Daphnia pulex: one gene and its partner. The protein of the gene in region 1 purifies or fractionates together with the protein of each later gene. This does not show direct contact. Links are inferred from orthologs where the notes say so. Each region holds a gene or a part of one and is shown in the gene's direction. Other genes may lie near its edges.

What was found.
Region 2: the proteins of immunoglobulin-binding protein 1b-like (region 1) and serine/threonine-protein phosphatase 2A catalytic subunit alpha isoform purify together in Drosophila melanogaster (affinity purification with western blotting; 3 studies listed by BioGRID, with this or other methods). This does not show direct contact. The link is inferred for Daphnia pulex from reciprocal best matches to the Drosophila melanogaster genes Tap42 and mts.

Annotation. Positions count from the first base shown.
Region 1 is NC_060028.1:6,376,984-6,381,204, forward strand, and holds immunoglobulin-binding protein 1b-like, read left to right. Parts: upstream 1-1,613; 5' UTR 1,614-1,679; coding exon 1,680-1,796; intron 1,797-1,873; coding exon 1,874-2,592; intron 2,593-2,659; coding exon 2,660-2,876; 3' UTR 2,877-2,947; downstream 2,948-4,221. Other genes in the region: endoribonuclease Dicer homolog 1-like, read left to right, coding at 445-535, 590-665, 723-864; uncharacterized protein LOC124209844, read right to left, coding at 3,035-3,144, 3,207-3,508, 3,574-3,619, 3,690-3,829, 3,913-4,074, 4,135-4,221.
Region 2 is NC_060026.1:13,488,684-13,493,978, reverse strand, and holds serine/threonine-protein phosphatase 2A catalytic subunit alpha isoform, read left to right. Parts: upstream 1-1,722; 5' UTR 1,723-1,951; coding exon 1,952-2,053; intron 2,054-2,127; coding exon 2,128-2,337; intron 2,338-2,677; coding exon 2,678-2,941; intron 2,942-3,012; coding exon 3,013-3,185; intron 3,186-3,252; coding exon 3,253-3,360; intron 3,361-3,438; coding exon 3,439-3,511; 3' UTR 3,512-4,582; downstream 4,583-5,295. Other genes in the region: transcription termination factor 2-like, read left to right, coding at 1-74, 144-641, 724-1,077.

The DNA of each region.
Region 1 (4,221 bases):
AAAAATGAAATTTACTTCTAACCTGAAACGTGAAAGTCGCAAAGAGTGCTGCAGTCTAATACGCATTGCGTATACTAGATTGCCAATTGTCCACATTTCTTTTCCAAACATTTGATTTTTTTTTGCTCCTTACTGTCTTAAAAATAAAATTTACTTCTAACCTGAAACGTGAAAGTCGCAAAGAGTGCTGCAGTCTAATACGCATTGCGTATACTAGATTGCCAATTGTCCACATTTCTTTTCCAAACATTTGATTTTGTTTGCTCCTTACTGTCTTAAAAATGAAATTTACTGCTTACAAACGAATTGCGTGTGCTTGCTTTTCAAGGCCTTTTCAAATCGGGCCGAACCAATCACATGCGAGAAAGGGTGGGCTAAAATTGCGCTGGGGTAGTGGGAGCACGTCTCTAATTTGGGAAAATTCTAAAAACTCGGCGGTTATAGCCGGATATAGCCCTTGCCGGAGCTATATTCGAAGACTCGGGTTATTCTAACGACATTACGTGGGCGGTTATCGCCCCACTTCTTGCCCCCGGTAGATTTGAATTAATTTATAAATGTTCAATTAACTCAAAATTTTAAATTTCAGATGGAAAGATCAGTTACTGGCCTAAGAACCCTGTCCAGACGATTCATCGTAAATATGGAAAAGCTTTGCAATTTGCGTAATATAATTTGACATATTACTAAAAAAAATTTATAATGTTTTTTTTTTATAATAGAGAAACAAAGATCATGGGTTTGACCCGTGTTACGCTTAAAATTGATGCAATCCCTATCAGTAGAGGTTTGGCAAAAAACGTCAGTTGCCAAAAGTGCAGCAGCAAAATACGCGTTGAGTATACTAGATTGTTAATTGTCTAGCATTTCCTGTTTAAGCATTTGATTTTTTTAATTTTTATTCTCCTTATCGTTCTTAAATATGAAATTTAAGTCTTACAAATAAATTGCGTGTGCTTGCTTTGCAACTGGTTAAAATTGGCGATGTTCCAGTCTGCAGAACCATCGAAAAAAGTCCGAGTGACAAGACTACCCAAAACCTAGAAGTGCAAATTTATACTCGATACATGGTTGTCAAATAGGGTTATATTGGGTGATAAACTGAGCAGAACCAGAGTCATCTAGCCTATGGTCGCTGCAGTCAACGTTAAATTCCAATAGCCCTCGACGACCATTTGCAACATCTATCTAAAATAGGGGTTTAATTAGGAGTAAAAATAGGGGTTTTCATATTTGGGGGTCCCCATATTTCCCATATGGGGATTTGACGGGAAGCTACTTTTTACTAGCGACTTTTGTATGGAGGCATAGGGAGGTCTCAACGAATGCCACGCCATCTAGGCTGTTGCGGCATACGGAAATACATTGAGACCCCCCTTTAGTAAAATGAGCGGAGCCCCCTCTTATGGGAAATTTAACAGGGAGACTGGAAATATTGAATTTTTTTTAATGGTTTAGTATCAAAGTTATAATAAAGTTCATGAAGAAAATCTCATGATGCAATTTGTTTCTGGTTAAAACCGGTTCTTAATGACTCCACTACGTGGTATTCATGGATAGTTGGTGTAATCATTTTACGAGTTACGACTACTAGATGGCAACCCGTGTAAGCACTGTCTCAACTTAGTAGTCTATGGCTCTATGCTTCAGTATAAAAACATAGCATTAAGAAAACGGAAATGTCGGCCGATTTAGAAGATGGATCTGAAACGGTGTCAGGGTTGTTTGACAAAGGATTGAAGATATATCATGGATTGTGTGATACCATGGATCCTTCCAACAGTCCTGAATATCAGGTATGTAGTCAGTATTCTATTCAAAGAATTTCTTGGTTTATTGTGTTTTTCAAACTATTTTTTTGAATGATTTATAGGCTAAAGTTAGAAGTTGCATTCAAATACTGGAGGATGCAACCAGACTTGTCAGCTCCCTTGGACTCTTTAGTACAAATGAAAGTGTTGATGAAGTTGCAACCAATGATTTGAAATTTTTCCTCTTGCCAGTGCTTCTTGGGGATTTGAGTCTGAAACTCAATTCAGATGACCGATTAAATATTCTTAATGTTGCAGAAGTTTATTTTCAAGATTTTCTTCAGCGATGCAAGGATTATTCAGTTGGAGGATTGGATATCCCTGACAGAGATCAACTTGTGAAATGTGAGGAACCACCAAGACATCCTGGTCCTATGGGGTTTGAAGAAATGGCAAGACAAAGAGAGGAGAAAATCAGGAAATTCAGAGAAGCCAAGGACTTGGAATCGAAACTCATTGAACTCAAGAATGCTCTTGAAAACCCTAGTTCAGATGAATCAATTGCACGTGAATACTACATATTATTGATGAAGAAATTTGTTTTCTCAACTATTGAAGAACTTAAATCCATAACTCAAGAAAAACCTATAGTTGAACACCTCATCAAAATTAAAAGAGGCGGTTGTGATGCCAAAAAATTACCACCATATGTGGGCAAACCATTGAAACCTATCATTATTACAAGGGATGCCGTCCAAAAGGCAGTTTACGGATTAGGATATCCTAGTATTCCCGCTATGACGGTAGAAGAGCTTGTTGATCAAAGAATGAAGGATGGATGGTACGTGTATTTAAAGCAACTAAATTAATTTATCAGTTCTAAAATCAATTTAATAAATGGGATTTAGGTATGGAAAATTAGGTGAAACCTCTGGCAATTCTCGTTCTCTGCTTGATGAAGCAAAAAATACAGAAATGGCCGCTTTGAAAGCGGAACAAGAAGCAACAGATTTAGAGAGAAAGGCTGAACTAGACCAAGAAGAACAACTTATCCGAGCTCGCCAATATGATGATTGGAAGGATGACCACAGGAGAGGCTACGGGAATCGGCACAACATGGGCTAATGTTATGGATTAAACATTGAATGTAATTCCAAAAAGAAACCCGTCAAATATAAATTTGCTTGTATAACCAACATTTGTATTCTTTCGTGTAAGATATTGCATACCTCTCAAAATATAATTCTTTTTAGATTACAAGAACAAATAGGAAATCAAAATCTTCAACCAAAATGTGTGGCCGAAAAGCCTTCATTTACATCATTGTTATTTTCTTCTTTATTTATGGGAATGTCACCGACACGTTCAGGAGTCAAAGAATTTATCTCTGCGTCTAGATGAAAGAAAAAATTAGTAGAGGAAATAGCAAGTATGTAAACATGAATACCGACTTACTTTGCTGCTGGGGTTTGGTATATTGAGTAATCCGTGATTTAGGTGTATACGAGGAAACCATTGCCTCTTCTGTTTGTGGAAATCTGTTGGGTGAGTGACTGATTCGTCCGCTACGAGTGACATGCACTCTCGTAGATGGGCTTTCAGATATGTTGATGTGCGGGTGAATTCTTAGTTCCTCAGTTTGACCATATCTATCGGGGGAACGAATTGGTCGCCCACTACGAGTAGTACATTGTGCCGATGGGGAAAATTGTATCTTGGGAATTCCAAGGAATTGGCTGGGTGGCAGAACTTTTTCCCTAAAATAATAATAATTTTGCTGTTACAACTGAAATTGCAAAGGAAAAGAATTGCAATAGGCTACCTCTTAGCTAAAGATGTTGGAACAAGAGGATGATCCAATATAACATCTATTTTTAAAAAATCCAATATCCATTTTAATCTTTTAATTTCATAATAGTTAAAAACTAATAAGCTTACTTGTAGAATGACTTCTTGGTCGAGGACTATCCGTGTGACATGGGGACTGATGAGGCGAAGAAAAGAATGTATGATTTTCAGACTTGTGCTTCATTCTTCTGATCAGTTTGGAGTAAACCGGGGTTTCAGCTTGTATTCCACTATCGTGTAGAATTCCAAAATTAATTAAGATTTATGCATAAGGATTTAGAGAAACTAATTTATCCCTGAAAAGGATTTTTACCTAGGAGCAGAAAATTCTTCATCTCTTATTTTCTCAATAGCTGACTGACCCATTTGGCACGGTTTGTCGGTAAGGTTTAAAGCTGAAGCTGAAGCAACTTCTCTGGGATTCAAAAGCGATGACTGGTCAGCGTAAGAAACAAAATCATCCGTTTTCAACGAACTGCAAATGTTAACAATAATGTTCCATTAATTTGACCAATGGAAGAATAAATAAGTTTACTTTGATTCCATATGTTTTTTCCTCAGAGAGGCAATATGAGACCTGATCCCAGACGATTTAACTTCTACTTCGCCAATATTTTTCTTC
Region 2 (5,295 bases), on another chromosome or scaffold:
AGGCACTAGAGGAATACATCAAAAATCAAGAAAACAAAATTAAAGAAGGTTACGGTTTCACCTATGATCGCCGGGTAATTTAAATGAGTCATAACAAGTGGTTAGTTTCGTGAAGCTTACGCAATCCTTTTTTTAAATTCTAGAATCTTCCGGAACTTCCCCAAAAGAACGTGACGAAACAGATGATGTTGGTGCTCCTCCTACGCCTCAGACAGGCTTGCTCTCACCCCGCTTTGATTCAAACAATGTTGGATGCCACTGACTCGGAATCTATGGGGAGCGAAGACGCCAAAATCGAGGAAAACGATCTGGATTTGATTTCTCAAATGTCCACCATGACGTTGGACAATAAACCGGGCGAGCCGAAGAAAGAAGAAACCAACTTCTTTACCCATACTAACCCAGTTTTCGATCGCGATAATATGAGCAGTAAAATGCGGTACATTACCGAGGAGGTCAGGAAAGTTGTCTCTCAAAAACAAAAAGCTGTGGTGGTCTCGCAATGGACATCCATGCTGGATCTGTTTGCCCAGCATTTTCAGCGTATGCGCATTCGCTGCCATTTGATCGCAGGTAGCGTTGCTATCAAACACCGAACACAAATCGTAGAAGATTTCAATAGCAATCCAGACGGTGCACCGGTAAGATTTATATTTTTATTTCTTCGTTATTTTTATTTGATTAACGAAATCTAGTTTTATTAACAATTTCCTTTGCTTTCAGGTTATTCTTCTATCCTTGGGTGCTGGTGGAGTTGGCCTCAATTTAATTGGAGGAAACCATATTTTCATCGCAGATATGCATTGGAATCCTCAGCTTGAGGCTCAAGCCTGCGACAGGGTGTATCGCGTTGGCCAAACTAAAGATGTCCACGTACACCGAATGATAACTCAGGGAACTGTAGAAGAAAGAATCCTTCAGTTGCAGCAGGAAAAGTTGGCAATGGCTAATGGCATACTTACTGGAGCTGCGAAGTTGGCTACTAAGGGTTTAACTATTGATGATTTGAAAATGCTCTTTAATCCTGGCCCGCCTGCATATGCCCCTAAACCCATGTTAAATCAACCTGAAGTTTAAGTGAAGTGATGTTATTCCCTTCATTTATCTATCACGTGTTATTTAGATGCGTTCTTATTTCGGTTTCTTCCCTTATATTAAATCCAGTTCGAAATTGATAGTTTTCAATAAAACAAAAAAACACTCAAGTTAAAAAAGGAAATGTATTTTTCATACTTTGTAATGTATTGAATTCAATTCAGCAATAAATAAATAATTGATGTCCTGATTCATGTTGTGGCAAATAACAATAATTTTGAAAAAAGGTTAAAAGTCAATTGTACTGATAAAACTAAGACAACAACATTTTTTACAATTTTAAAAATTAAGCATAAATAATAATTAAAATGCAATATTAAATATTGGAAGCATTCAACCACACCAATTTCTTGGGGATTTGGTCAAAATAATGGTAAACGTCAAAATAGAAATTCGAAAATTTTTTGTTTTGGTATCGTCAATCTGAATCGATTATTAAGATATCGATTAACATTGAATGACAATCAATGAAAACGAATGACAATCTATTTCGAATTAGTAAAAAGTAGTATCAAGAAAAAAATAATGCTTTGAAACTGTTGATTTGTGTTTTATGAGAAAGAAAGAGATTAAAGGGAATATAATCAATGTTGAATCGCAGCCGTTGCCGAGACGATGTGACGTCACAACGCTCTAAGCCTGCCCCTGGTGGCGAAAGTCTTCGTTATGAAAAGAAGCGGCCATTTTCCTATCTAGGAAAAAGTGGCAGAAAGGGGGTGGCCACTGATACATGTTAAACCCGCTCTGTTAAGTGTAAGCAAGCCCAAGAAGTTACGTTTGAGTTTTCGTGGCCCCACCGACACATCAATTTGTCTGTTGATACTTTTGTATTGCACGAATTTGTAAAGTATTCACCATGGAAGAGAAAGCAGTGGTTAAAGAACTTGACCAGTGGATTGAGCAGCTTAACGAATGCAAGCAGTTGGCCGAGAACCAAGTCAAAACCCTATGTGAAAAGGTTCGTACATTCAACGTTTTTTTTTGCATCAATGGAATGCTTTAAATATTTATGGTTTGTTCTATATTTGACAGGCAAAAGAAATTTTGGCCAAAGAATCAAATGTTCAGCCAGTCAGATGCCCTGTCACCGTGTGTGGTGATGTCCACGGACAGTTTCATGACCTGATGGAGCTCTTCCGAATTGGAGGAAAATCTCCAGATACCAACTACTTATTCATGGGAGACTATGTTGACAGAGGTTACTATTCCGTTGAGACAGTCACATTACTTGTTGCCCTCAAGGTGAGTTGCTTATTATTCCACAGACATGACTCAACTAATTATCTAGAAGTAGGATATTAAGAATTTCAAGGTAATACTTGGAATTTTTTTTTTTGCAAGTCATGTAATCAATAAGATTCAAATATGATATGACTAGGTTTGTTGACTATTTGGATGATGCAATTGAAAGTTGCTCCTTATGGTGGGCTTGCCCAAAGCTTTGTGGAGGCTTTTATCTAATTACGCAGCTGATAGCTTTTGAAATATTTATTGATTTTTCAATTGAGAATTAGATTAACTTTTTCCACTGTACATTTGTATGACTGTTACTAAGGTTGCTTTTCCATTACATTCAATTTAGGTTCGCTACCGTGAACGAATTACCATTTTGAGAGGAAATCACGAGTCTCGTCAGATCACACAAGTCTACGGATTTTACGACGAGTGCCTAAGGAAATACGGCAATGCTAACGTTTGGAAGTACTTCACCGATCTTTTTGACTATCTTCCTCTGACAGCACTTGTCGACAGTCAGATTTTCTGTCTTCACGGAGGACTTTCCCCTTCTATCGACACTTTAGATCACATTCGATCTCTCGATCGTCTCCAAGAAGTTCCTCACGAGGTTAGTTCGCTGTCTGAAAACACTTTGACATCACAGTTTAGTCAACCTATACGTCTCGTTTGCTAAAATAGGGCCCCATGTGCGACCTGTTATGGTCCGATCCAGATGACCGAGGTGGCTGGGGGATTTCCCCCCGTGGAGCTGGCTACACCTTCGGCCAAGACATTTCCGAAACTTTCAATCACTCCAACAACCTGACTCTGGTCTCTAGGGCTCATCAACTTGTCATGGAAGGATATAACTGGTAATGTTTTGTCTTACAGAAGACATATCTGTTGGTACTGGGGCTGAACGTTTGATTGCTTCATTAGGTGTCACGATCGCAATGTGGTAACGATATTCTCTGCGCCCAACTATTGTTACCGGTGCGGCAACCAAGCGGCCATTATGGAACTGGATGATTCATTGAAATACTCCTTGTAAGTTTTTAAACAGCCATTTTAAATTTACATCTAGAAGACATTTATTGATTTTCTTTCTCGTTTGTGAAATTACAGCTTGCAGTTCGATCCAGCTCCAAGAAGAGGAGAACCTCACGTAACCAGGCGCACGCCGGATTACTTCCTTTAAGAGCAAAAAAAAAAAAATATCGCGGAACACCGATGAATTTTTCTCCTTTCTTCCTTCAATTTACTATCATTATTATTATTTTTTCTTCTCTTTTTCTTTCATGCTCGGTTCATTTCTCTTGTTCCTCGCTCGGAGTATAGATTTTACTAAGTCGAGGTTTAAGAGTACCCTGCACATCCCCACTAAAACGTCCTCTTTATGCGCCTCTTCTTGAATGGAAAGCAAAAAGATCAACATCCATACCCTCCCCCTCTACCCCTTAAAAACACACACACACACTATTCCCTTACAGTCTCTTCTTTTTTTTTTTTTAAAATTGGAGTTCGTGATTTGTTCTTTACAAATATTAATGAAACATGGAATCTTCTCTTTTTGTGTCGGAAAAAAACCTCCTTATGTCCCCTCCCTCACACCCCGCCCTCCCTATTTTCTCGCCCGTGTCGTAAATGCGTGAGAGAGTAACGTGCAATTGGTATATTCTAGTATCACTTCCCTTTTTCTTTTGTCCCCTTTCCTACCTGCCCGTTGATACCCTCGAACCATCTTTTACGATTTATTTAAGAAAAAAGAGTTGAAAGAGTGAGGGAGAAGTAGGTGGAAGAAAAGGAGAGAGAGAGCGCGTGTCAGAGCCAAGAGCAACTGTATACCGACAGACGAGCCGCCCAAACAACCAACAAAAAGATTAGACCACGAGCATCAGATTTCCATTGTACTAACGCTTTTTTTTTTTGATGACTTGTCTCGAAAACATCAGATGGGGACATGCTGATGTCGCTGTTCCCCTCTTTCCCCCCTTGTGTCCTGTACTAATAACTATCTAGATGGTGACCTTTGAACCTTCCCTTCCTCCTCCCTCCTCGAAAATAAGACCACGCGATCCAGTTCACACTTAAGGGAAAAAAATAACCAACCAACAATGAAGTAAATCCAACAACAAGAGAAAACAAAAAAACGAACGAGCGAGCCGAAGAAGAGTGGTTTTTAAATGTCGTGTCCCGTCACTGTCATTTGTAGCCAACAAAAAAAAAATGCTGGAAGTTCACCTCGATCAATACAAATCGTAATCATTCACCAATTCTTTCAGTTGGATGTCGTGCACTCTCATTCCGAACGGATGGCTGACTTTGCTTGCGATGACTACGAGTTTTCTTAAGTCTTTTGCAGCGATTGATGTACAAAGTCGCCACAGGGCAAAGTCTCTTTAATGTTTAAGCAAAATGTACTCTAAATCACGTAGGTTAAGCAAGAAACCTGACACCGGTTGGAGCTTCTGGAATAGAAAAAACTGCGTAGCTAATGTCGTTTGCTGCAATGTCGCAACTTTTCGATGTGTTCATCAACCAACTTCGAGTTTAGTTTAAACGTTAGTCTTGATCGAGCACCCATCCGGGTGAGAAGATTGAACTTGCTGATTTCTTTTTTATCCAGCAAGTAACGGTAAAACAAAGCTTACATTTTTTAAACAAATTTTGAATTTAGATCTTTATCCGTACGTTATGAATTGTTATTGGAATTGCATGTGATGTAATGTCTTTTTTAAATTTTTTAGATCGGGTGAAAATGGCGGTTTGGGGCATTTTGCTCACGGCTGCCACCCTTTTGGGGCCCATGGTAAGCGGAGACAAGATCAAAGTGAGCCAGCACTGCGTCACGTCCAACTCTTCCATTGACAGCGTTTATGCTTATGCAGAGAAGGGGCTCAACAGCTCAAGGACATTACGCCTTTCGAAATTCAGCGGGAAGGTGACATCCATTTCTGATTATTATTCTCGAGGTTACCAGTT